Linked DNA regions of Oryzias latipes. The main gene of each other region encodes a partner of the protein of the gene in region 7 in a complex. Links are inferred from orthologs where the notes say so. Each region holds a gene or a part of one and is shown on either strand. Other genes may lie near its edges.

What was found.
Region 1: lin9 (region 7) and lin54 share a complex: the UniProt entries of both Homo sapiens proteins name them as parts of the DREAM complex. The link is inferred for Oryzias latipes from reciprocal best matches to the Homo sapiens genes LIN9 and LIN54.
Region 2: the proteins of lin9 (region 7) and lin52 are in contact, whole or in part, in a crystal structure (PDB 6C48), measured with the Homo sapiens proteins. The link is inferred for Oryzias latipes from reciprocal best matches to the Homo sapiens genes LIN9 and LIN52. Residues at the interface, in NP_001353174.1 of Homo sapiens: Leu335, Gly336, Phe338, Phe342, Leu343, Ile344, Val346, Thr347, Leu349, Ser350, Lys351, Leu353, Met354, Lys356, Lys357, Ile360, Leu363, Arg364, Asn367, Thr368, Ala370, Glu371, Lys374, Ile382, Phe384, Gln385, Tyr388, Ala389, Val392, Leu395; in NP_001019845.2 of Homo sapiens: Asp61, Met64, Leu65, Leu68, Gly69, Leu71, Thr72, Thr73, Leu76, Met77, Val80, Leu83, Gln84, Leu86, Ala87, Leu90, Asp93, Glu94, Glu97, Met98, Arg100, Gly101, Leu104, Asn105, Ile106, Leu107, Glu108, Pro110.
Region 3: the proteins of lin9 (region 7) and mybl2 are in contact, whole or in part, in a crystal structure (PDB 6C48), measured with the Homo sapiens proteins. The link is inferred for Oryzias latipes from reciprocal best matches to the Homo sapiens genes LIN9 and MYBL2. Residues at the interface, in NP_001353174.1 of Homo sapiens: Lys356, Gln385, Arg386, Tyr388, Ala389, Thr390, Val392, Leu393, Leu395, Glu396, Asn399, Leu402, Asn403, Leu406; in NP_002457.1 of Homo sapiens: Trp663, Ala667, Cys668, Gly669, Gln674, Met677, Gln678, Ala681, Arg682, Leu684, Leu685, Arg687.
Region 4: lin9 (region 7) and mybl1 share a complex: the UniProt entries of both Homo sapiens proteins name them as parts of the DREAM complex. The link is inferred for Oryzias latipes from reciprocal best matches to the Homo sapiens genes LIN9 and MYBL1.
Region 5: the proteins of lin9 (region 7) and lin37 are in contact, whole or in part, in a crystal structure (PDB 7N40), measured with the Homo sapiens proteins. The link is inferred for Oryzias latipes from reciprocal best matches to the Homo sapiens genes LIN9 and LIN37. Residues at the interface, in NP_001353174.1 of Homo sapiens: Lys99, Ala101, Ser102, Gln103, Lys104, Ile105, Gly106, Arg108, Leu109, Arg110, Leu112, Leu113, Lys114, His119, Trp121, Cys122, Ile123, Glu125, Trp126, Phe127, Thr227, Leu237, Phe238, Leu272, Ser273, Asn274; in NP_061977.1 of Homo sapiens: Tyr95, Ile97, Leu99, Phe100, Asp101, Arg102, Val104, Leu106, Ala107, Phe109, Ser110, Glu111, Asn112, Thr113, Pro114, Leu115, Tyr116, Ile118, Cys119, Arg120, Trp122, Met123, Asn125.
Region 6: lin9 (region 7) and e2f4 share a complex: the UniProt entries of both Homo sapiens proteins name them as parts of the DREAM complex. The link is inferred for Oryzias latipes from reciprocal best matches to the Homo sapiens genes LIN9 and E2F4.

The regions. Positions count from the first base shown.
Region 1 is NC_019870.2:2,875,781-2,879,280, forward strand, and holds part of lin54 (protein lin-54 homolog), read right to left. Parts: intron 2,183-3,500; coding exon 2,027-2,182; intron 1,951-2,026; coding exon 1,758-1,950; intron 1,687-1,757; coding exon 1,616-1,686; intron 1,330-1,615; coding exon 1,147-1,329; intron 1,053-1,146; coding exon 961-1,052; intron 1-960. UniProt on the Homo sapiens protein: Component of the DREAM complex, a multiprotein complex that can both act as a transcription activator or repressor depending on the context. In G0 phase, the complex binds to more than 800 promoters and is required for repression of E2F target genes.
Region 2 is NC_019880.2:13,721,382-13,725,351, reverse strand, and holds the start of lin52 (protein lin-52 homolog), read right to left. Parts: upstream 2,801-3,970; 5' UTR 2,798-2,800; coding exon 2,764-2,797; intron 2,713-2,763; exon of another isoform or gene 2,653-2,712; intron 1,978-2,652; coding exon 1,924-1,977; intron 1,308-1,923; coding exon 1,233-1,307; intron 1,157-1,232; coding exon 1,119-1,156; intron 1,022-1,118; coding exon 955-1,021; intron 194-954; coding exon 110-193; intron 1-109. Other genes in the region: pomt2 (protein O-mannosyl-transferase 2), read right to left, coding at 3,777-3,882.
Region 3 is NC_019863.2:23,220,275-23,223,340, forward strand, and holds part of mybl2 (myb-related protein B), read right to left. Parts: coding exon 2,988-3,066; intron 2,035-2,987; coding exon 1,902-2,034; intron 1,822-1,901; coding exon 1,756-1,821; intron 1,679-1,755; coding exon 1,490-1,678; intron 1,415-1,489; coding exon 1,148-1,414; intron 1,075-1,147; coding exon 932-1,074; intron 1-931. UniProt on the Homo sapiens protein: Transcription factor involved in the regulation of cell survival, proliferation, and differentiation. Transactivates the expression of the CLU gene.
Region 4 is NC_019878.2:17,044,996-17,049,270, reverse strand, and holds the start of mybl1 (myb-related protein A), read right to left. Parts: upstream 2,801-4,275; 5' UTR 2,768-2,800; coding exon 2,696-2,767; intron 2,388-2,695; coding exon 2,311-2,387; intron 1,113-2,310; coding exon 1,013-1,112; intron 848-1,012; coding exon 776-847; intron 678-775; coding exon 585-677; intron 83-584; coding exon 1-82. UniProt on the Homo sapiens protein: Transcription factor that specifically recognizes the sequence 5'-YAAC[GT]G-3'.
Region 5 is NC_019874.2:15,177,520-15,181,718, reverse strand, and holds the start of lin37 (protein lin-37 homolog), read left to right. Parts: upstream 1-1,399; 5' UTR 1,400-1,444; intron 1,445-1,771; 5' UTR 1,772-1,808; coding exon 1,809-1,842; intron 1,843-2,739; coding exon 2,740-2,815; intron 2,816-2,984; coding exon 2,985-3,035; intron 3,036-3,524; coding exon 3,525-3,554; intron 3,555-3,717; coding exon 3,718-3,803; intron 3,804-3,908; coding exon 3,909-4,069; intron 4,070-4,199. Other genes in the region: proser3 (proline and serine-rich protein 3), read right to left, coding at 83-123, 224-372, 466-728, 813-878.
Region 6 is NC_019864.2:28,153,448-28,157,458, forward strand, and holds the start of e2f4 (transcription factor E2F4), read right to left. Parts: upstream 2,801-4,011; 5' UTR 2,721-2,800; coding exon 2,556-2,720; intron 1-2,555. UniProt on the Homo sapiens protein: Transcription activator that binds DNA cooperatively with DP proteins through the E2 recognition site, 5'-TTTC[CG]CGC-3' found in the promoter region of a number of genes whose products are involved in cell cycle regulation or in DNA replication.
Region 7 is NC_019882.2:7,720,829-7,723,919, forward strand, and holds part of lin9 (protein lin-9 homolog), read left to right. Parts: intron 1-77; coding exon 78-208; intron 209-320; coding exon 321-446; intron 447-738; coding exon 739-896; intron 897-2,396; coding exon 2,397-2,530; intron 2,531-2,619; coding exon 2,620-2,748; intron 2,749-3,049; coding exon 3,050-3,091. UniProt on the Homo sapiens protein: Acts as a tumor suppressor. Inhibits DNA synthesis. Its ability to inhibit oncogenic transformation is mediated through its association with RB1. Plays a role in the expression of genes required for the G1/S transition.

The DNA.
Region 1 (3,500 bases), on a different chromosome or scaffold from region 7:
ACAAAAAGCCTCTGCGTTATCATTACTGTGACATTCTAAGTATAGCATGATGGATTTTGATCGCTACAACATGTTCATGGATGTCCGTCTCATTTTTGAAGTTTTGAATGGGCTAGCCCCTCCCCCCTTGTTAGATTTTATATGTCAAAAAAAGAAAATGTTGGAATAGGCACCAGGGCTATGACTCGAGGGGACTGTAATGTACAAAAGCGCAGTACTAAATGTAGCCACAGTGGTGACAATCAGAGGCACACAGTTACTGAACACGCTGCCGCAGCACATCAGAGACCGTGAAAACTATCCTACCTTCCAAAAAGCTCTTCAACAACGGCTGAAAACAATCCAGTCCTGCAGACATTGATGATATTGTTTTTCTTGGGTTTTTATAGACTTGTGTTTTATTGTAACTAACCTTTGTAAATATCTTTATCACCGATATTGTGCTTTTCTATTGTGCTGTAACCTTTTATCCTGCCTTAGGACAACTGATGAGATTTAGCTCCCGTGCTAACTTTAGCATATTTATATTGAAGCAGCTGCTGAAACATTGATTCATATGCAATGTCCTGATTCAAATAAATAAACTTAACTAATTCATCCGACCGCATTTCAATGAGTTGCTGTCTCGCCGTAGCTCCGCTACTCCCATAATGCCCGGCTACGGTGGCCGTTTTAATCCAGATGTTCCGCTCCGAGTATAGAGCCTGTTCAGACCGGAGTCCGGTTGGAATCGAGACCACCTCGAAAGATGGGTCAGAGGGCGGTGTCTGATCCCGGACCAGGGTCCGCTTGTTTGCATTCGAACTCAAAATTTGATCCGGATTATCGGGGGGAAACTAACTCTGGTTCACTTTAGACGAACCAAATGTGTCTGAATTCAGCCTTACTGCGACATAAATCATCATGAGCTCCAGCTTTTTTGTGTGTCTGCAGCTCACCGTACCCCCCCCCCCCCCTTACCCATTAAGGGGCAGTTTGGCCTGAGTCTGCATCCCGCTGGACGCCTGGAAACCAGAGCTGCTGGCAAGAGTCACGAACGGAGACTGCTGGAGCTGAAAGACCATCAAAAAAAAAAAAAATAAATAAATAAGACGATTTGACACGCAGAGCCCAAGAAGACCGGACCTGAAGACAGGCGGCACTTACCTGGGCGACATACTGAGCGGGGAGGACGGCGTAGCCCATGTTCCCGCCTCCGGGGGCCGGAGCCAGGACGGTGCCCAGCGGCAGGTTGGTGAGGTTGGGCTGGATGGCGGGCATGATGAGGCGCTGCTGCGTCTGAGGGGTCGCCACCACCTGTGCCGATGACGTTAGAGGTTTCGGCACCACCTGGAGGAAGCAGCATCATCAGGTATTTGCTAACGGTGTGTTTTATGTCACCAATTCGGGTTTTAAGCTCATCTTCAAACAAATTTCAAACACCAGCTGATGCCCCCCCCTCCAACTGACAGTATTAAGTGACAGGAATTTACTGAACAACCTGACAAGACGTTTCTGAATCCGACTGCTGACCTTTGAACTGCTTTGTATGAACACTAAACATTTTTAAAGAACAGCCTTTTCACATTGGTTCGTTTCTCAGGTGAGGTGCTCCTTCCTTCATTGCTGGACTCACCTGTTTCATGGCTGGAGCTGGAACGACAGGGACCGACATCCTGACTCCTGTGCTGCCCACCATGGGTTTCCCTGCAGAACGCCCAGAACCGTGAGTTTGCGGTCCGTTTGTGGCCGGCGGCGGCGGCGGCCCGCCTGCTCACCTGTCTGCATGGAGCTGGTGCTGGGCTGGCCCGGGCTGCTGGACGTGGTCGCCGTGACGAGCCGGACGTAGTGAAACCTGCTTCCTGGAACCTGAATCTGCTGCACGTTCTGCTGGGTGGTCAGCGGGATGATGGTCTTGAACTGGGAGCCTCCGACTCCTCCCACGGTCACCGACTGGACAGGTTTGACGTTCTGGGTGGAAAGGTAAGGAAAAAAAGGTAAAGCGGATCTGAGGAGAGCGTCGGCTGCAGGCGAGCTCCACGCTCACCTGAGCTGCAGGCTGGCTGGTGGCCACTTTGACCGGAGAAACAGCGGAGGACTGCTGGACGGCGAGGATCTGCTGGCCGAGCGCCACGTTAACGGGCAGCGCGACGGACTTCTGCGAGGAGTTGGAGGGGGGAGAGGCCACGGAAACCACGGTAACCTGCCAGCAGGAGTAAAACCAGAAGATTTCAATAACCCCAACGCTCTGAAGCAGGAAGAGCTTCCAAAAACTTGCGGCTGAGAAATAAGCAATAATGAGATGTTTTTCCAGTACTAAAGGAAAATCATTCAGAAACTAATCGCCCATTTCCCCTTTTATAAAGACGTCTGATGTGTATGATATACGTCATTCATAAGTGTTCCTTGCGTTCACCATTCGTCGATGTGCGCAGATGTCGGCGAAGGTTTCGGCGGACGAATCTTAACACAAATTCCGTTTTGAGCTGTTTGAAACTTTCGGTCGGTTGAGAATGACGCAGTTTACGCATATTTTACATCGTTTATACGCAATTGTGCGAGACCCCTGCGCAAATTTGTGGCATTGCACGCGTGTCCACATCTGTCTGACTGACTTTTCACACGTGTGCCACTGATGTATACGTTTTATATCACGCATACGGCGCACAGATCGCGTTAAAGTTACCTAATTGATGCATGAATCACTGATGAATGATGGACAGCGCAATAATCACACACGGCTCATGTTCTGCGTTGATTCTTTGCGTGGTTTATTCGTAGTTCCCCCGTGGTTTTGACGTGGTTCAATCGGCATGCATCTGTGAAAGTTTCAGGTAAAGACCAGAACTCTTCTCACAGGAAAAAGCGTGATCCTGTTATGATGACTGGAATCCTGTGTTCCTCAAGCTGGATTTAGACTCATGTAAAGCAGCGGTCCCCACCTTTTTATCGCCACGGACCGGTATGACGTCACACAGAGTTTTCACGGCCCGGTCTTCAAGATGTAGGCGGATGAATATTGGAGCAACGCGACGATGATTAAGGAGAAACAGTGGCGTGACGAAACGAACCCCGAGCTTTTATTTTGACAGGCATGACATTGTACATCCTCCTCCTCTCCCCTTCCCACACTCATGGTGTAAAAAAGAAGTACGGTCTATTAAATGTAGCTTTCTTTTTTTGTGAGTGGAACGCTCCTCTTCTGTCTCCTGGCTGGGCCTTTTCCCCTCGGCAAAGAAACTTTCCAAAGACGTTTGTTTTTTACTCCTTTTGCTAGCTCCTGGGTTTTATTTTAGCCGTAACCTGTCAGGTGACCAAGGAGAGCAAGAGTGACAGACGGATGGAACAGAGAATCGGGCAATCTTTCAAAAGAAAACATTTTTCAGATTCCAAAATAAATAAAACGGAAGTAATGCAAGTAATTATTCTTTCTGTGCGGCCCGGTACCAAATGACCCACGGACCGGTGGTTGGGGGCCGCTGATGTAAAGGACTTAAATGATTCCGTTTTGTCCTTTTACC
Region 2 (3,970 bases), on a different chromosome or scaffold from region 7:
AACCTGTTTGGAATTTGAATGTGGAAGCAGCCAAAGACTTCAGCGGCAGAGAATTGCGTGGAAATGCTTTTAGCCCCCCCTAGTGGTGAAGTGTCTTTGTTATACTTACACTCCTCTAAACCCAGCTGGTAAGCCAGATTCTGAAGTCCTTTGACTTTTTCCATCAGATTGGCTGTAGTCAGACTTCCCAGCTCTGCAGAGGTATAACATCACACTAAATAAAAGCATTTAGAGATACTTAATTAGCTAAAGAAACATGAATTATTATTTAAAGTCCCACTCGGATTTGATCTTTTGATCTGTTGTAACCCTTGTGCTATCCTAGGCACTTTAACGTTGGGAGTTGGGTCATGTAGACCCACTAGACAGTGCGCTGAACTTTTTTTCTTCAATGATTTATGATCTTCACTGGTGTCCATGGATTACATGAAATCTTTCCACCTTTATCCACCTTTGTCATGGTCGGAAGAACACGTCAATGTAAGGGTGGGGTCATCTAAGATAGCACAAGGGTTAAAAGGCGTTCCCAGAGGTCTTTTAATGAATGATTATGCCGTTTTTTGCCGAGATAGAAAAAAAACACTGTGTGATTTTTAAGGACAGTTAGAGCAGAGCTGCAGTAGATCATCAGTTTATACACTCTACTGCTAGCTTACAGCCACTCACACCCCCAACCTAACCTTAGAAACGAAAATGGCGAGCAATATTGATTAAGAAATAAGAAATTTCAAACAGCATTTTTTCATCTGCTCCTGATTCACAACGATTTGAATAAATAAGAACTCAGAAATGCAATTTCAAGCTTAATTTTCTTTATACGTGTCCTCCATTATCAGATGTCAAGATATCAAATGCCACAAGAACATGTTCAAAACACGGTTTTTCTTATCAGAGTGGGTTTTTAATGTTTTCCCTAAGGTTTATACAGGATAAATGTCAGCTGTCTGAACCAACCTTTCAACATTTCAATGTCCTCACTCTCCAACTCAGCCATCCACTTTGGAGGAGAGGTGGTGATAGGCTGCAATAAAAAGAGAAAAACAACAACATACAAAGTCTCAACTCCAATCAGTCTATGCAGAGTCAATCCTGCATCTTTAGATCAGAGCTAAACTCACATTTTTGCAAGTTGCCGCAAACTCTGCAACTCCAGGCACTGTGTGAGAATTCACATAAAGAATCAATTACAAAGTAATTTTTTATCAGCTGGGCGTGGGAGGATAGAAACTTACACTGCTCTGGCCACAGGTCAGGTGATGCTCTGTCCAGCTTCTCAAAACTCAGCAACGAAATCTCAAAATCCTCCCCTGCAGAAGCACACAGTGGTTCACTTTGACATGTTCTTTAGTTTTTTAAGTTCTATGCTTTTGGAAATCAGTGGTCAACTATAAAATTCAGCCAAATGTTAATTTAAAAAAAATTAAAAAGTAACTTTTTATAAACAGGTCAAAAATTGAAACCTAAAAACAACTTTTGTTTCATGTTTTATCTAGACAGAAAGAGAGGAAAAAATCTAATATTTATCTGGTCTTAAAATTAGGCAGTTTCGAATGAGAATAAATGGTTTTATTCATTTAAGATTCGTACAAACACTGATCAATTAAAATGTTCAAAGAGGTCATAGTCATGTGGTGATCTGATCATCTACTAATAACTCTTACACTGCTGTAAAAATATGTTTGGCCATTTAAACAGAAATGCCTCGTTGATGTGAGAGATCAGAGGAGAATGGCCAGACCGGTTCCAGCTAATAGAAAGGAAACAGGAACTCAAAGAACCACTGGTTTCAACCAAGGTCTGCAGAAGAGCATCTCTGAACAACCCTTGAGGCAGATAGGCTACAGCAGCAGAAGACCACACCTAATGCTGCCATTACTGTCAGCTAAGATCAGGAAACTGAAGCTTTAATTCACACAGGCTCACCAAAACTGGACAATAGAAGATTAGAAAAACATCTGGTCTGAAGAGTCTCCATTCCTGCTGGGACATTCAGATGGTAGCATCAACAACATAAAACCATAGATCCATCCTGCCTTGTATCAACAGTTGAGGCTGCTGGTGGTGGTGGTGTGATGGTATGGGGGATCTTTTCTTGGCACACTTGTTAGAGACACTTTTCTTTCTTATTTGTCTGTATATGTATAAAGGGTTTTCTTTCTTATCAACAATTACTTTTGCTATCAAATCTGAACACTGGTCCTTCACCAATATAGAGAATTGTATCCAAAATTTCAATAACTCTTGACAGAGTGTGAATTACTAACTAATAACATTATTGGTTCTGCAGACTGTTAAACTTTTTAGAATTTGCTTTCAACATTTTTAACACATTAAAAGATACTCATTACGGACATAATACTTAATAGCAGACTGATTCCATTTTCAATCAAAGGAGTCGAACAGTCACACAAAATCTAACAAGCAACCAAAACAGCTACTACTAATTTAAAGTAGAGAAAAATAACTAAGTGCTAAATGTAGCACTGATGCTAATTCGAGCCAAACGGCCAAACGAAGCAACAAGAAGAACAATCTGGACTGCTGCTGTCATCATCAACGGCGGACAATGTCAGTCCCAGAATCAGGAAAAACAAAGGAAGAAAAACAAACCGATTAAACAAGAATTTAGTCCTACGACAAATTTTACGTTACCTCTGGGTGTTCACATTACACTGCGTTATAACTGTTAACGACTTAAATGTCTCGAAACTGTCACATTTGCGATGTATTCAAAGCGTATCGGAGAGAAGAATTAAAATTTACCTCCATTTGGAGACGCCATCTTCAAAATAATCATGTGACATGCAACAACCAATCGCAGCGGCCGCGCTCTGTTTTGAGGTGTGGCGATGTTTTTCAAAATTACGCCGCTAGAGGGCGGCAATGGTGCTCGCGCTGTTTACAAGAGGCACAGAAGATTACTGTTCGTTTTATTCAAAGATTTATATCGTCTTAGAAATTGTAGTACGAACATTACTGTCATAACTTAATGAAAAGACCCTTATTTAAGCCCACCATAGTCTCAATGAAATGTTACAATGCTGGTACATTTTATGGTTTTACCTTAGGGGACATTTAAATCACCTTTTATTCCCTCTAGTTTTTATTTCTGGAAAGAAAAACCATAACTCAATTATTAAACAAGACTTTCACATCCCAGATTTGGAATGTTTTGCATTTAGTTTATATTTTTATAACAACAATTTCTTGCATTTAGTTTACTAGGCCCATGTTTCACAGATTTTACAAGTTTGAACTTAAGTATACATAAAAAAACGGTACAATTTATTATATATATATATATATATATATATATATATATATATATATATATATATATATATATATATATTGAGTTTTCCAATTTTTTGACTTTGCGGCACATCTCGTTTTGTGTTTGTAAATTTTGCAAATATAACAGGACATGAAATACAAGAATAAAACAATTTATTGATCAACATAATAAAAACACAAAATCAAAAGTATAATACTAAAGCTCAGGACAATCTCAACTAAAAATACATGTAAAATGTTCTGGCTTTAAAAAAAACAACAACTACTGTCTCTTTCAAATGGAATTTAGTTTGTCACTAAAGGCAACTTGGTGACAACTCCAGTGCATCTTAAAAGATTCTACAATCTGCTTTCCAAACTGACTGAATTCACATTTTTTCTTACAGAAAGACAAATGAAATGTTTAGACTCAAACTGATGTTTTGAAATTCCCTCGGCTCAAAATGCTCCGTGTCTGTGACATCTTAATCAAACAAGGATAACTAGAAGTCCCAGGAGTCTATCCACTTCAGGCCTGCCATGGCACTGCCCGGCTCATGGGCAAGAGGACCCATCATGCCATAGGACAGAGGATGAAAAAGGTAGAAACTGGAAGGAAGACAAAGATCTACTCAAAATCAACAAATTCTTTATTGCCTTTACATTCCCACCAACTAGATGTAAATATGAGGTCTGC
Region 3 (3,066 bases), on a different chromosome or scaffold from region 7:
GCTCCGCTTCGACCTTTCACACCGACAATGACTACATGCACAAGTATCCGGTAGCAACATTCCAGTGTGAACACCATTTGCTAAAAGTATGTTCAAGAATGCGTGTTCTTGAAGAAACGTCACATGTCTGGTGTGAATGTTGCAATAGGAGTTACACCAAAAACACAATATGCTTTATTGGGATTTTGCGCTTTATTCTTTCCAGTTTTTATTTTATTTTCATCAATCCCGTCTCATTTATTCTATTACATTTGAAAAAACTCCAGTAACCCAAATCAATGCTCCCTTAAAGAATCGGGTTGCCTGTCTACGACCCTCCGCAAGCCTGGACATACAGGAGAACCTGTATGGGTGCATGTGACACCACCACGCATGTGATGCGTGTTCATATGGCGGAGTGTCACTACCTGTGACAGACCATGGCCGCCGCCTGTTGTTGGAAGAGACTCGGTGTAAAATGTCGAAAAATGTCAAAAATCTTGTTCCAGGCTATTTTTTCCCCAGCTCTACTCCAATTTCTGAAAGACTTGGTGTGATAGAATTCCGTCCAGAAACAAAAGGCAATTATTAATTTTTCCTTCATGATTGGCACTTCAGTGAATCAAAAGGGACGCCATCCATTCATAACTACCAAATCCTAGTCCCTGATTGGTCAAATTCAACCCGGTTTAACTTTCAACAGGTGTCCACTGAACGCAGAGCCCGAAAACGGTTTTAAAAACGTGTGTAGCGATGCGTGAAAGCGAAGGCACCAAGCGCCCGTTTACATAGCCTTTTCATTGGACGTGGTTGCTTGAACGCGCGTTGCTGGGGGCGTTGTGAACGCAGCTTCAGGCATAAGGTCTGCTGCCGCCGCGCACCCCGACTCCAACAAACCAGGAGGTTCAATGAAATCACATCTACAGAAAACGCTGCAACCAGGCCGACTCACAGAGAGTTTTCTTTCTGAGTGAGCGGCGTCTTGTCGCGCTGCAGTGGCGTGGTGACGATGGCTTTCTGGCTGCACACGGGTGTGGACGTGAGGGAGGGGTTCTCCAGGTCATGAGTGTCCTGCTTGGTCCACATGTTCAGGAACTGGAAAGACGAACTGCGTTAAACGGAGGCACCGAAAATAGACTTTTCTGAGTTTTTTTGTGTTGAGGCCCACCTGAGAGGGAGAGAACGGCAGGTGCTTGACGGGGGTGTTTTTGGGCGTCATGGTGGTGTCGGGAGACAAGGCCACCCGCCTCCGGTGGCGGCAGGTGAGGATGGAGGGCGGCGTGATCCCGCCTGGAGAGATGGGGATGAGCTCTCCTTTGCTGCCTTTGCTCAGCTCCTGCAGAGCGCTGCCCTCCAGGCGGAACTGGTGGCGCTCTGGACTGGGACTGTCCTCTGGAAGGTGGAACTCCGCCAAGTTGCACCACCCGTCCAGATCCTTCAAACAGAAGTTTCCTTGCTTTTGTCCTCTCAAAGGTGGCAATCTCAAGTATTTACAAACAGTTGATCTTACCCCGTCCACCAGGTCCAAAACCTCCTTCAGAGCCGGGCCTGTGGGGGAGAGGAAACCAGAACCATCCACCACCCAGCTGCCACAGCTCATTTCTCCGTCCGTTTTAGGGCTCAGGCTGTCTTTCGGTGAGGGGGCGGCGTTTAGTAGCTTGGTTTCACCCGTGTTCTCTGCAGCGGTTTCCTGCGTCTGCTGCGGAAACATCACGCATCAAGGTGAACTGAACGTAAACCGTGAAGAGTCACGAACGGATTCAATCGGCCGCTCACCGAGGCGCCTTGGGGTTTCTGCTCCTCCTCCGTCTCCAGAGCTTCCTGGGAGAAGCTAGCCGTCGTCTGCGTGAACATGAAACAAAACCTTCAGTTGATTGGAAATGAGTTACCGGAAACAAGCGTTTGAGGAGATCTTCACCCACCGGCACGTCTTTACCGATACGAGCCATCATGTCTTCCAGCTCGTTGGCTCCCCACACCTCGCCGGCGTAGAAGCCCATCTCCAACTTGCGCTTGATGGTGGAGTTCCAGTGGTTCTTCACCGCGTTGTCCGTCCTGTTACCACAAATACCACATGGATACTTGGAAGTTTCCAAACCCAGAAATCTGCAGGGGTTTAGTCAATGTTTTGTCATTCTTTCGACTACCGTAACTCTTCCACCGCTTACGCAATTCGAGACTTTAAAGAGGATTCTGAACATTCAAGTTATAAATGGGCCAATCAGGTGCCTCAATAAAAATGTGCACGTCAAACGTTTGACAGATTTTGTGTCGCCAGCTTCAGAGTGGTAGGGGCGTGAAGTAGGGCTGCACTGCAACTTTCAATTTATGAAATTAGTGATCAACACAATACGACTCGAGTTACATGAACAAACAGCCAAAGAAAAACCAATTACTATTTCACTGCAACTCTTTGTTAAAAACAAAAAAAAAAAGTCAACATAACTTAATTTAGACTCCAAATGACCCACGGGCTCCACCTGATTGGCCAAATGCGCATTGGATTCGTTAAATACTTTAAGCTGCCATGAGGTTGTTTCATCGAATGTAAAGGTAACGATTTAGTCTTTTGCAACACTCGTCTCGCACAGGCTGATATTGTGATGGCGATACATTTGTGTAGGCCTAGCGGGGACTTCCAACGAGCTCGCTCCTGATTGGCGAGAGCGGCTGACTCAGACTAATCACTCCTCATTGGCGACGTCTGATTCCAACATGGCGGCCTTGGTATTGTAAAAAACTGGTGACTGAATTGACCTCATTTCGCTGGAACCAGTAAGCCATTTTCTGTGGGTGACATCACGCTCACTCAGTCCAGTTCTCAAATACAGACAATTTTTCTGAAGCGGAGAAAAGCAGCTTGGAGCTGTTATGCAACACTTTACGTTAGTATAGTAATCCACCGATTCAGGTTGAGCGCATAAATAGTCAAAGTGTTACGGTACGCCCAAGAATGTGTGTTATTAAGGTGTCGGCGTGGACATCTGCAGGGCTAAAGGGTTAAGAACCTTCCAGGGAGGAGCTTGGCGATTTCAGCCCAGCGGTTTCCCAGCAGGCAGTGAGCCTTGTAGATGATCAGGTCCTCCT
Region 4 (4,275 bases), on a different chromosome or scaffold from region 7:
ACTGTTTTCCAATCCTTCCCTGGAGGTGCTTTGCAATCACTGACCAGCGCTTCGGCCCATATTTGCGCACCAAATCGATAACCTGAACAAATCAAATTAAAAGTAGCTTAGAGCAAATTGACTTGTGATCCTTAATCTTAATGATAATAATAATGCATTGGTTAAAAAGCATAGAGAACAGCAGCAGCAGAACTTGTTGAAACGTTTTTCTCAGAGCAGAAAAATGTTGTGAAGTCATAGTTGGCTGACTGCACTTCTATTTATAAAGTATGATGTCAGAAATATAAAGCATGAAGACGGACAAACTAAGCTACAGTTGAGGAGTGTAATGCTCATACAAACACACATTCAACTCTAAAACTACAGAATGTCTGTTTTGGTGTATTACACACACAAACTAATAGAAAAAGAACGAGGATAAAGTTAGCACATTTGCAAAACCATGTTAGATTGAAGCTAAAAGTTGCATTGCTTTTTGTGTCACCCGTGTTTCCTCCTGTACCCTCCCCAGGGTTTTCTTCTTTCCCCCTATCATTTTTCTCCTCAGTCATCTGTCCAAAAGAGACACTCCCAGCTCTTCTTACCTTTTGATCTTCTTCTTTTGTCCAGGGTCCTTTCACCAGCTCTGGATTGAGCACCTTCTGCCAGCGGTGCTGACACTGACCATCTGTCCGCCCCTGAGTCACAGGAACACAGAGTGCAACACTTCATCCCACCGCAGGACCGGCTACAACCGTTCTTGATGGAACCGTAACCAGGTGGACTCAATACTTACAGGGAAAAAAGTAGCTACTAGTTTCCATGCCTCAGTTCCGTGTTGCTCCACGAGTTTTTTCAGCTTTTCATCCTTTAATTATGAGTTTAAAAAGAAAAAACTGATAATTCCACGCTTTCAGCAAACATTTTCACAGTGTGCTTTCATTTAGCAGGTGCATAAATAAAAAATATGGTTAGAAATGTCTTCCAAAGATGCATAAGTTTCACCTTTTTTTGGTTTCTATAATAAACATACCTCTTCTCGTGACCACTTTATTTTGCCCAGTCTTTTTTTATCATTGCTTTTTTCTTTACTCTCTGGATCTGTGGACACCAGCTCTTCATCCTCATCAGTACTGAAAACACAACAGGAAAAGGGGAAAAGAACCATAATCATGTTATTATTCTCTGTTCTAATACCTATTGTTTCCTCCTAACCCATTCTTAACATGTAGACCTAAATATGAAAAGTAGCTGTGAAAGTTAACAACTTTAGCTAAAAGAAAATTTATCATAAGCAACAACAAAAAAAATGTTTTACTTCCATTTGGAGTTTTGAAATTTATAAACCAAAACCTGGCAGCAGGAAAAGATCATTGGAGGATGGATTAGGGTTAACCTTAACCTTGATAAACATCTTAATGAAATTAGGCCTACCAATTAAAGGTTCATAAATAATTTAAACATATCATGGGAAAAGCAAATGTGCAAGTATTTCCTAAAATTCAATATTGAATAAGTTATTTTCTTAACACATAAGAACCCAGATCTATTTTCCTTGAAAGAAAATGATGCAATATTTAATGTTTTGCTGTTACAGTGAGGTAGTTCTACAAAACAGAACTAACACATGTTCTAAAGAGCTGAAACGTGCCACCCACAAATATACTAAGCAGTTGTTTTCCGTCTTTTTAGTGTCAGAAAGTCCATGAATGTCTGTTCTTTACTGTGCAAACGTGTCATTATAAACCTAAGTCTGGCCAAACTTCTTCACTGGGGCGACTGTGTGTAAAAACAGAAGGGAGGGGTGTAAGGTGACAAGCGGAAAGGGGCAATCTCACATCAACAGACTCTTTCACTAGCAAAGTGCATTAGTGTGTGTGTTTTTAGGTGTGATGATGTGGCCGCAAAAGCCCACATACATATTTTTTTTCATTGAATTCAATTGAATAGCAATAAAAACTCAATGAAAAATTAATTTGCATGATATAGAAATGCATTTAGAACTACAGTATAACCTTTATGTCGCACGTGAAGGTTACCGAAATTAATTAAATTAAAATTAAATTTAAAAAGTGAAAAGAAAATGTAATATTTTGGCATAACACTACATGTGAATTAACTATATTTTTTATCTTAAAATATGCCGCCATAATAGTGTCAGTGTTGTTACAGAAACTTTTTTATTAGACTGTAATCGTTTATTTTTATAAACAAACGCTAAAATGTTAAATAATGTCAGTATATTCATTTATTTTTAATTTCTATTAAGTATAGAAACAGGAGAAAGGTAGTCGACGAGCTTTGTGACGTTTGAGTATTAATCAGTCTTACCTGCGTGATTTCACTTTGTCCATAACAGCCGACAGCAGAACCGAAAGTTCTCGAAGACAACCCTGTGTTTGGCAGTTCTGTGGAATAATCGCGCGTGAACAGGTGTCTCTCCATAAAACTGCTTTTTGGTCATGAACGACGTCTTCTGAGATGCGGCGACTTGGCGTTTCGGCTAACCAGCTAGCTAACTCCACGCAGAAGAACTCATAACATTACCCAGAACAGGCAGCTGTCCATGAAGATATCATCTCTAATGAAACGCAAACCAACGGTCGCTCTTTATCATATGGGCGCCTCTTACAGATCACGTTTGAAACGCTAGAAACCAATAGTATGCCGACGGGTGTAAATAAAATTCTTGAATAAATTGTCACTGCTACCGCACCTTCCGCTCATAATGTGGGGCTTCTGTACGTCTGCATGGCGTTATAGAGTTGGGTTGGTTTTTTTTGTCCATCCCGCCGATTCTGGCGCTCAGCTCTCTGCGCAGGCGGCTTCGTTCCTGATTGGTCAGAATTAGGGCCGTGTAACACGAGGACTGATACTCAAAACTGATTGGTCCAAATGAGGACGACGAATCTACGGCTGAATGGTCTAAAAGTCCGCAAGGTTTTTTTCAGTGGTCAACGTTCTAAAAGGCGGGTGCTTAAGGTGACAGTGACAGAATAAGCATATTCGGTGTGGGAACACAGTTTACACAACTTCTAGTGATGATAAATATGGTCTGCATTGATGTAATAATAATAATAATAATAATAATAATAATAATAATAATAATAATAATAATAATAATAATAATAATGAGTTTCCACAAATATACCTGAAACCAAATTGCTTGAAACAATTTGGCTTACGGTTTATAATTAAAACATAAATATGAATAAAACATGAAAAACTGTTACATCCATTACATCTCTTCAAGCTGACATTCAGTCTAAACACGTCATCTTACTGCCACCTTGTGGACACAACGTCCATCTGCAGTTGTGTGATGGTTTCCATCACACAACTGCATTTTTTCCCACATTAAAAAAGGTTTTCCTATTCACACCCTGATCTTTATCCTAAAAATTTGCAGAAATATCAAAAAACAGAGGGGAAAAAAGTCTAAACTTCTAGGAGTGGTTTGTCTTTGGGTGACACGTGTAGTGTTAAATTAACCCGTTTTTATTACAAACTAATATATGGAGGGAAAAGCTGATATTAGAAAATGGTGATGTTTACTTAAAAGCCTGTAGATGACTGTTTCACTTGTTGATGCAAGAGTGTTGTCATTGTAAAAAAAAATGCACGGAGCCGGAAGTTGATTACCTTACAAAAATAAGAGCACAAGAAACTTTTGAACTTAGAATGAATAAATGTGTCCGTCACTTTGATTCCAAAATCTACTAAACAACTTAGAACTCTACAATTATTATAAACCTATTTTAGTCAAACATATGCTATTAATTTAAATGACAATGTTATCTTTTAGCAGGATATTGATTTTTAGTTTTAGGATCCAGGTATTATTGAGAGGGAAGAGATAATGTGTTCAAGCTGCATGTTGCAAAAAAATTAAAGATTAAATAAATTATTTATTTGATACAGAGATTGTGACAAGGAAAACAAATTTAACAGGTGGCCAAAAATAATCTCAAATACACGAGAAACATATCCAACCACATCTCCAAAAACTACATGTTAAAACCAGTCTGTGTGGGTTAATCCGGTTAGTTATAGATAAATAAATTTTTTTTGTAATGCACTATGGCTACAGTTTGCAAACCTATTTACACATGGTTTGAAAGAATCTGGAGGTAAACAAGATGGCACAGGTATTTAAACTTAAATTTTGTAATGAAGGTCAGATATGGTCCTGGAAAGTCTCAGGCACATTTCAAGTCTTCATCTAAAAAAAATCTCTGTGAACATCTGAGATTCTAATTTTTTGTGAACAAAGAAATGTGTAAAAGCTTTAGTTTT
Region 5 (4,199 bases), on a different chromosome or scaffold from region 7:
CATAAAAACTAAGCAACACTTTGTTGTTTAGTGGCAAAGGTAGCATAACCCTTTACGCTGTGACTGATTCCAGTGAACTCACAGTGACGGATCCATCATGTGTGACAGCAGAATCGTGGTCGTCTGTCCAGGGATAGTAAGATCATGCAGATGATAATAAACATACACTATTATGAAAATAACTGTTTGATTATCGGGTACAAAGGTAAGAGATAAAATGTACCTTTATGTAATGTTTTAGTTTGTTTTCCACAGGGAGATGATGAGTGGAACATCCACCACAAAGGTTCCTGCTCTTCTCCAGAGACAGGAGTCACTGGCTGGCGCTGTTTCCGACTCTGAGGTAGACCATGTCGAAAACGTTCTATGTATCTTCAAAAAGCAAAGGTTAATGATTTGTCGAGCAACGTTAAAAGACTAAATATGAAATGAGATTGTGATGAAACCAGACAGCACGGCACGCACTTAGCCAGCACAGAATCTTCCTGAACTCCTGAGGAATCTTTGGAAGCCTCAGACCTCAGAGGCTGATCTCTTTCCTCCATATCAGGAGTGATGCTACCAAGACGAGATGCGTGTTCAGGGGACTGCCAAGACTCAGCAGCCACAGATTGTCCACCAGTAGAAGAAACATGGCGATCATGTTTCTTAAACAGTTTCTGATTTTTCTGAGCACATGATTGTAATTTTACACCGGATCTCCTGCTTGTGCAACCAGGACTGCGCGTCTGTAAGAAGTACAAGAAGTATGAAGTAATAGTTAGAATCGACTTGACAACAAAGATGTTAATGAAGTTATCTTTAATACTAACACTTTTGTTCTTTGTCTTTGACAGAAGTTGCTTGCTGGATGATTGCTTGTGTGCCCTTCTTTCCATGGATGGTGGCAGATGAAATTTCTGCCCTGTGAGAACAGCATCAACACAATTTTTTTAATAAAAATGATTAAGCAATAGTAAAACGCATAAAATAAGTTGTATGTTTATTATTTTTACTTCTAATTTTCTGACCCCTCCTCTCTAGTCTAATTTAAACTGTACTTTTCTGCTCATTTGGTGGATGATAAAAAAATCCTGACCTGTGGATTTGCACATCCACACCACAACATCAAGCAACACATTGACCCATAACAAACACGTACAACAACAATGACACAGATTTACAAGACCAAAAGTTAAGATTTTGTGAAGAAAAGAAAAACCTACCTAGTTGGCTTTTTGATTAAAGTACACCTAACAAGATGGATGAAACCAGAAAAGCTGTAGCGTTTGAGTTGTTTACGGCAAAGAACACAGCTTGTGGAAATTGACCAATCAGGGGCTGAGTTTTGAATAATGGACAGAACAGTTGTCCAATAATAGTAAGATTCTGCTCACAAAGCATCCAATCAGATCATAGAGTCTACAGCGCGCGGAAGAGAAAACCTTGACAGGGATACTTCTGGGTAAAAAAAAACGCAGTTAGCAACGGTTGTTTGGCCACTAGCTTACCCACAACACTACTTGACCACATCGAACAGAGCGTGAACAGTGTAATATTGTTGTTACATAGATGTAGTTGGTAGGGTAAAATGTTTCTCTTCGTGTCAATTTAATAATTAAATACATGTAGATAAAAAAATTGTGGCGTAATTTTAAGAGTTTGGGGTGAGGCTAACGCAAAGGTTAGCTAACTTAACTGAAAGCAGGAGCGCAGCTAGTTTCGGTGCATATTTAATTGTTTTAAAACAAATTAAACTGTGACTACCTGTAGTTACTGATCTACTACGCAGATCTGTTTTTACCCCCTGGGAAATATTGTTTGACACCATGCACCACGTCAAGATCAAGTCGGAAAGGCCAGGTAAGAGAGAGCAGGGCTATTTTCACGAACTGTTGTTTTATTTAATTAGACACCTTTAGTTAAAAGAGCTTCACAGAGACACCGAAAGGCTCTGGCAGTAAAAAAAAAAGAAGTCAAATAATTTACATTGTAATGTGTAGGGGTAATAACAAACTAGTTAAGCACATTATTATTATATGTATAAAAATAATATAACATTTGGTTTATAATAAATGAAACGTTTAAAAAAAATTAAGCGCAGTTAATTATTTAATTGTGATTTGTGTAATAATTTCTCCTAACCCCTTAAAAACGTCTATTTAGGAATTGGTTGATCCATTGGTTTAGTTCAAGCATTGATTGTAGACAATACAGAAAAGGAAATCACACAGTTTTATCAAACAGAAATAATGAAATGCACTGATTAAAAAAAATGTAAGAAGAAAGTTATAGTAATTACTCATAATCCAGAATCGATTTTTCTGCAATGATGCAGAGAATACACATTTAGGTCACATCAGATTCATTCCATATGATTACCAACTAAAGTCAAGTTTTAATTTTTAATTGAAAAGGAGTAGGAAGACATTTGTATGATCCCACCCCTAGTGAGTTATTTCATTACAAATTTTTGCATCGTTGTCATAATCCAGTTTTGATCCAATCGTTCCTTGTAAATGTAAAATTATGGTACGGTATAGCTTAATAAATTGTGTGTAAATATTGTTAAGGAACCACTAGATTCCATATAGTACTTTGTATCTTCAAAAAAGTCCGATTTCTTTTTTATTTACCATCCAAAATATTTAAGATTTTGGGAACTTCATAGCTAAATTAATTGCACATATCTTTTAATGGTAATAATTTTATGGTTATCCATGTTTTCTGTTATAATTTTTGTAACTGTTTCTATTACAGAGCTGGAGGAAAGCGGTGCACGCAGCAGACTGGATGCTGTGCTGAAAGGACTTGTAGAGAAGAGTGAACATGAGAAGTTAGTGAGATTGTGATGCTTTTTCATAATTCTTTTTATATTCTGTTTTACTGTGAAGCACTTTGTGATTTTTATCTTGAAAGGGGCTATACAAATAAAGTTTATTATTATTATTATCATCATAATGATCGCTCATCACTGTCTAAAATTGTCGTTATGCTTTAAACAGGGATCCAAACGAAAATGATCCTGGGAAAATATCTGTGGATTCTTTAAACAAGTAAGCTCAGTAAATTTTTCTTTTGTTCTGTTTAATTATAAGTGAGGAGGAATTGATATCAGAATCAGAATCTTTTATTATCATTCTGCAGAGCACAATGAAATTTTTTCCAGCAACTCTCGATATAAAAAGGTAGAATAAAATAAAATAAGAATAAGGAGCTATATAAGGCATAAATACTTAAATACTGTACAGTAGAGTGGGGTGAATATTGCACGAGTGGGTATTCCACATTAGAATGGATATTGCACATACAGCATGAATATTGCACACAGTTTAAAATAGAGATATATATTCTAATATACTGCATAAAGCTGTAGTATACAGTATATTATACAGTATACTGCAGCTTTGTACAGTACAGTACATTACAATATACTGTATAAAGCTGCAGTGAATTCAGCTGTTACTTTGATGCTTTTTGAGTATTTTAAATAATGATCAAATGAATTTCTTGTTTTGAGATAACATCCTTTCTGCCCTTTTTAGGGATTTGTCTCCATCATCTGCTGGAAAAAGGTAAGTCTCTGTATTCAGAACGTGGGTTAATAATGTCTTTTATACTTTTTTATGTCCTGTACTGTTCCTAAACATTTTTTTTACAGAAAAGCGACTATTTGAAACAGTTAACATGAATTGTATTTATTGTTTTGATGTGGTATTTTATTTTTATTTTTTTCAGACAATCAACTCGATTTCCACAACACCGTAGAAAGAAAAGGAAAGAGATGGAAGAGGGAATACCAGAGACTAATCAGCATAAACAAAGTAAATTTGACTCTGACTTTTGCTTTTTATTGTGTGCAAGCTTTTCATTTACAGCAGTTTTTCAATTGTTAAGAAGCGTTTCTATTTGATCTGCTTTGCTCCTAGATGCCTACATCATTAAGCTGTTTGATCGCAGCGTCGATTTGGCTCAGTTTAACACCAGCACCCCGTTGTATCCGATCTGCCGTGCCTGGATGAAAAACAATCCTTCTGTTCGAGAGTCTGTAGCCTCCCCCGGCTCCCCGCCCGGCATGACAGAGGAAGAGGTGGGGCTGTCCAACATGTCCAACAAGGGCAATATGAATCTGTATTTACAGGGAAAATTTACCAATCTCTTTGTAATTCAACATCACAATATCATAAAGAGCATTCTTTATCTTTGTTCGTAAAGCAGCA
Region 6 (4,011 bases), on a different chromosome or scaffold from region 7:
AAGTCAGTTGGAAAGAAAAAGAAAAAAAATGTGTGCACGTGCGTGGAGTGTTTTATCTGCGAGGTGCAGCGCAGCTTAGAGTATCAGCAGACACTATATCAACCCAGTCACACAAGAAGGAAATGATCAGGAAGACAGACTCAAAAAGAGAAGAAGCAGAACTCTTCATACATAATGTAATGCCTGAATGGTCAAAATGACAGTTAAGAAAATAACAAAACAGAATCAGTGTGTTGTAATTTAAATGATTTTAGACTCAAGTGTCTCTCTTCTATGACTGTTATAGAAAAATATGTACATTAGGGGGGAAACAATCAATCCACTTATTTGATAAATTGATTTATATTACTACGATCCAACCAAATAAATCTGTCTGAGGCAAGTTGCTGATCCAAGCGACCTATACCATTAAAAAAAAATCCTTTCAAAATGTAATAAATTAGTTATATTGGAAAATACCATTTGGATTGAGGCACGTTAGGTTTATTTACTATAATGTAAAATCGACCATCACAGCAGACAACACACAAGTGATATCAGCAAAAACTGATCAACCGTCATTCCAGTCCAGTTTGTGGAAAAACTTTGAATTTAGCAAAGACATGGTCCCATCCAGTGGGCTAGAATGTTCTAAGAATGTTACATTTTTTAGGGTGTATTGATCCTTTTGAACAATTCGGTTAATATAATAATTTGTGGTTGACAATACGATTTATAGTAGATATTTGTTCATTTTGAACGATCCGATTCACTGACCTAAAATAGATCCAGGACATTTTTAGCCAAAACATCAATCAGTGGGACTCAGAGAGAAATACCTGGTACTGAACAGCACAGCGGAGGTTTTCCAGATTCCTTGCAAAATAACCAAGCGTAAATTAAATAAGTGTACAAACACACAAACAAGAATGAATGGCAAATCTAGACACAATAAATCACTAATTTATCGTTATCATGATATGATATATCATGCAAAAGTCTGCAAAAATTGCAATAAATCGTAACCTTAAGAGTGCTAAAACAATCTCATAGCAGCTTGAAGTATTTAATGAATCAAATAAATTCATTTAAACATTTGACCAATCAGATGGAGCCTTTCACGTGGTTGACCAATGGGATGGAGCTCTTTTATGTTGGCCTCCTATGTAGACGAGGGGCAACTCTTATTTAAATTAAAACTGTTGCAGTGAAATGGAAATTATGGTTTTGATCGTTTTGCTATTTGTTCATGTATCGCAAGTTATATCCTCATCGCAATGTTTATCACTAATATCGCATACCGCGAGTTTTCCTCATTATATCGTGCAGCCCTAGTCAAATCCATTCACATTTTTGGTTTCATCAAGTTGCGACATATGACCACACTGTATGGTCAAAAATTATGTTTCCACACATCGAGCCGTAATGATGGTTGGTCATGCTTTGCTGCCGTCACATGCGTGTTGTCTACTGTGATGCACTCGGTTATTTTTACAGTTATGGTCAAATAAACCTTCAGAACCTCAATCCAAATGGTGTTTTCCTATATCCATATAATTGATTTATTTCATTTTGAAAGGATTTTATAATAATAAAACACGTTGACTCAATTAACAACTTGCTTCAGGTCAATCTGGTTGGATCGCAGCAATATAAATCGATTTACTGATTATTCGTAACAACCCTATCTATGGCAAAAGTGGGCTGAACTTTGACACTAAAATGGGAATTACTTGTTTGTTTGTTAAGCCATTTTATTTACATTTACAAGAAATACAAGTGACACTGTTCAGTACCCATTTATTTATCTCTGAGTCCCACTGATTGATGTTTTGGCTAAAGATGTCCCGGACTATAAATCATGTCGTGAAGCACAAATTATAAAGTGGATCAAATTGTTCAAATAAATCGTAACACCCCTAATGTAAAAATATGAAAAGTGCAAACGTTATATATTTTTTTGTATTTGTAGAAAACTATTTGAGCTTTTACATCAAACAATGTGGGACTTTAGCAGAATCCCAATAGTAAACATTCCTGCATTAAAGCTAGTGATGGAAATGTGGAAATGTGGCCCCTGTACTGTGAAAAACAAAGCTAGCCTAATTTAATCAACATCTGTGCGAGTACTACTTCACGCTTTGAGTCATTTCTGAAAAGCAACATTATAAACGCATGTCGTTCGTGGACAAAGACGCAATCAATCATAAAACAAACTTGCTCAAGTGTGAAGGTGCAGTGGCTTTAACTGAGAGTAGAATGACAAAAGCTGACCCACTTTCTAAACTTTGAATCTGCAGGGGGGCAGAGAGTCGAAAAAAGTTGACCGGTGTTCTTGAAATTCACTTCGTTTCTTCACTCAGAAAGGCAAAAATCTGCACCATAAAATATTAAATGTGATTTTAATTGTAAAAGTGGTGAACTAAAACAACAAACTTAGAAGGCAAAGCTATCTTTCATTCAAATTAGCCTGTCACACAGCTAAGCTAGGCTAGCATGCTAGCTAGATACCATGTAACTTAACGACTGCGGGCTGGCTCAAAGTGACATGTGCTAGCTAACAACAAAGAGCTCACAGCTTTCAGATCCAGGACTCCGTCCTTCGCCTCTTGTAATAAAGTGACGAACTTCGTCGTGAGCAAGCCCAGGCTCTTCTCGTGCCTGCTCGGCGTCTGCGGTTGCAGCGAGTCTCCCACGGTTCCCGGGTCGCCTCTGTTACTGGCCGTCTCCAGCTCCATCATTGCTCCGGATCAGCTCCGTACTTCCCCTCTTCTCTTGCCTGCTTTCCGACTAAATCCAGCCAGCGAGCCCAAGAAAGAAAGCTCCACCGCCGCAGTTCGAAACACACACGCGTGGATGGTGTGGTGCAAATTTACGAGTCAATACTAGCTGCTTTTCTGAAAATAACTGAGCAAAATCGAGCTGAAGCAGCGAGTATGGAAATTCAATGAAGGAGCAGTCGGTGGAGAGCCGTTGGCCACGCGAGGTATGACGGGACGGTGCTTTCGTTTTAGGGACCGTGTGCAAATGTTCATGAAAAAATAAAACCACGTAAAAAATACATTTGCTAGCACGAACATGTATTTCTAGTGATTTATTTTTAATGTAACATTGAAAAAAGTATGAAAAAAGACGGTTAGTAGTTTTTCTATTGCGATTTTAGGGGAAGTATTGGTTGCAAGAATTTTTGGTAGAGGAGAAAGTTTAACTCGAACTCTTAGCAACTTAAACTTGAAGAAAACGCACTTCCACGCGCGCACACGCAGGCACCGTTCTTCAAATGAATATTTGAAAATTATTTTCCCCTCTAAAGCTTTTCTTCCAAACCACATTGTCATTGACTGAAACATTTTCAAGGTTGCAAAGCAGTGCGAATTAGTGTACTGTGTAAACATTGGTTTGTAAATTAAATATTTTGAATTTAACTATTTGAGTTCAGTATTGCATCCTAACGACTTTATTTTTTTTAACCACAAAAATGTTACCACATAATTTAAGTTTAAAAGTTATTATAGGGGTGTAACGATTAATCGACTTAATCAGTGAAACAATTTTATATTTCTACATATTTTCTAGGGCAGTTGTTAATCTATTATCTATTCAAACTATTATAAAATCTTTTCAAAATTAAATAAATCGAAAATGTCAAGATTGGAAAATAGCATTTGGAGACATGGTAGGTTTATTTTACCGTAACATAAAAGCGACCAAGTGCATCACAGCAGACAACACATATGTGGTGGCAGCCAAAAAATAAAAAAGAATGTTACAGTCCAATGTGTGGAAACACTTTGAATTGTGTAAAGACATGTGGTCATGTGTTACAACTTTATGAAACCAAAATTTGAATGGATTTTCTTTTAATTTTTGTTTACTTGTTTATGTGTACACATCAACTCTACACTTGCCAGAAGTATCAGAGTACCAGAGTCACACTGGTTTAAAAGTTTTGGCTAAAAATGTCCTGGCTGGATTTTAGGTCAGTGATTGAACTGGATCGTTCAAAATGAACCAATATTGGCTATTAATTGT
Region 7 (3,091 bases):
CATCAAATTTAAGTGCTTTTTTTTTTTTTTTTAGCAAATGTTTAAAATAATATTTTTTAATTTCTATTTTGTTTCAGAAATTTTCAAATGTTGTCACACCAGACAAAAAGGCATCCCAGAAAATAGGGCTGAGACTAAGAAACCTCCTTAAACTTCCCAAAGCTCACAAGTGGTGCATTTATGAGTGGTTCTATTCCAACATAGACCGGTAAATCTCACTTTCCCCCCACCAGACTACTGGTTGAAACTTTTTGACTAATTCTTCCTTTTTTTTGACCAACTCTTTTCGTATTATTTCCTTTCCTCTTTTCCACCTTTAGACCTCTTTTTGAGGGTGACAATGAGTTTTGTCTGTGCCTCAAAGAGTCGTTCCCCAATTTGAAAACAAGAAAACTGACGCGAGTTGAGTGGGGAACAATCCGACGACTGATGGGGAAACCTCGAAGGTAAAACACAATTGAATTTTATTTATTTCAAATTCCAAATCATGTTTTATTGTGAAAAGTTGAGGACAAAAAGTGATTAGGACATATTTAAAACTACGTAAAATGAAAACAACAGCAGAGCCAGAAACTGTGGATGTTATTTGAAAACATTTCTTTTGCTACATCAAAAAAAATATTTCATAGAGGATTTTTCTTTAGTCTTGAGTTTATCACATTCTATTTTATTTTTTGGTAAATTCCTCATAAACATGATGTGTAAAGAAAAACAGATGTTCCCTCATGTCTGTTTCAGGTGTTCTTCAGCATTTTTTGCTGAGGAGAGAACAGCGCTGAGACAGAAGCGGCAGAAAATGCGTCTTCTGCAGCAGAGAAAACTGTCCGATTTGTCAAACTGCAAAGATCTTCCTGAAGAAATCCCTTTGCCTCTTATCATAGGAACCAAAGTCACCGGTGAGATCACTATAATGAGTATAAACCCTCAGTAAATGCTGGGAGCGACGGGCAATAAATGACTTTATGTGAACTTCCAGCAGGTCTCGACAAATGCAAGAGTTAAAACATGTCAAGCTTAAAAGTAATGACTAAACTACAAAGAAACAAGTACTCAGGTTGGGATCAAGATTGAAAGTTAGAAACGAAGAAAAGGTTGTTCCAGACAAACACAAGAATGTCTGAACATGTTTATTTACTTTTAATTTGATTTGATTTATTTTTATTTCAAACATTAATTGCAGTCAATACAATAAAAAAAGTCACAAAGATTCATCAAACTCATTACAGAAATGATGAAATGCATAGATTAAAAACAAACACAAAGACACACTTAAGTCATATTTGCTTAGTTAACTATTGTGATCATTAACTAAAGTATAAGTAGAGCTTGATTTATTGCTTATAAAGGAGTGGGAAGAAGCAAGTATATATAATCCCACCCCTTCGGAGTTATTTCATTTTTCGTTTTACATAGTTTTTCGTAATCCGGTTATGATCCGATAGATTCTTTTCAAGTAATATAATCAAGTGCTTATTGATGATTATCTGCAGAAAACATTCATTTATGATTTTAGTAAACAGTAATGTGAATCACGCACCATGTAACCAATGTAATACTCATTGATTATAACCAGAACACAATTTTAATAAATCCAGATATCATTGCTACACATTGCAGATCAAGTTATTTACAAAATCGAGTGCTTATTGATTATCCTCAGAAAGAACTACATCTTTTCAGTAAACAGTAATGATTTACACTTTAGGTAATCAATATGTAATCATTGATTATCATTAGAACACATGATCACAATAAACCAGTAATTATTGCTACACGTTGCAGATCAAGTAAAGAAAATCTATAACTTATTGACTGTAATTTAAAACATTTTAGTAATCATTATTGCACATTACTATTTAATACCCATTGGTTGTAATTAAAAGAGCTTTGATTATTTCACCACAATCAAGTTCACAAATGTATTTGTAATTATTCAAACACCTGTTGATCCTTAACTCCTCTTATCTTTATATCCTGAAATCAGAGTTTCTTTATAGATTTTCTGGAATATTTGGATATTTGAACATTGTTTGAGCTCATTCCAAAGTTTAGTGCAAGTCTAGATTGATCAAATAAATTGTTTGTATGATAGATACATAGCCGGCTTTATGTACAATACTGATGGCTCGTTTTTGAAGTAAAAAGAGAGGATGTAGTGAACTCTTATAATTATTACACCACATTTCTATACAGTAGGTGAAATATGTTAGTATTAAGAAGCATTATAACAAATATCTACTGTTGTATTCTAATTTATATTTAGATTTATTTATGATTTAATTTCTTTTTGAAACTTTAGTTTGTATGTAGGATGTTGTATGTTGAATGTGAGCTGGGATTAGACCGTCATACTGATGATGTGTTGTTGGAACGCTAATCCTGCTCACTTTTTCCAGCTCGACTCCGAGGCAACCACGATGGCTTGTTCACGGGGCAGATTGATGCAGTCGACACAAGCGCGGCCACCTATCGTGTCACCTTCGACCGCACTGGCCTGGGAACTCACACCGTGCCTGATTACGAAGTTTTGGTAAATGTGTAAATAAATGGTTTCACCAAAACAACCGGCAGCAGGAACTCTGAAGCTCGTTTTCCTAATCTAACGATTTGTTTTTCCAGAGCAACGAACCCAATGAAACCATGCCCATCTCGGCTTTCGCTCAGAAACACCGGTCAGCGCGGTACATGCAGAACGTCATGACTCCGCCCAGAGCGACGTATCCGTCCGTCACGACACCTGTCCACATGGTAACCGTAACATCAGTCTAATCCAACAATAATGGGCTGCCATTTCATATTTACATGCGAACTGTAAACATTTCTGTCTGCTGCCTGAAATGTGCCTTCAGAATCGTTTTGTTCAATTTATGAAGCCTATAGATAAAATTAAACTCAGTGATGGTGAAATCTTTTTACAGTTCTCTTTTATAACTTGGTACCTGAATGTTTTCTTTAACATGTTACATGCAAATCTTAATTTTGTTGGTTTTTCATGTCAATCGCTTGTGAAATCTGCCTCATTTCTCTACATGTATGTATTTTCTCCCAGGACAATGATCCTCTTATGAGCCAATCGCCTTGGAGGAACAAA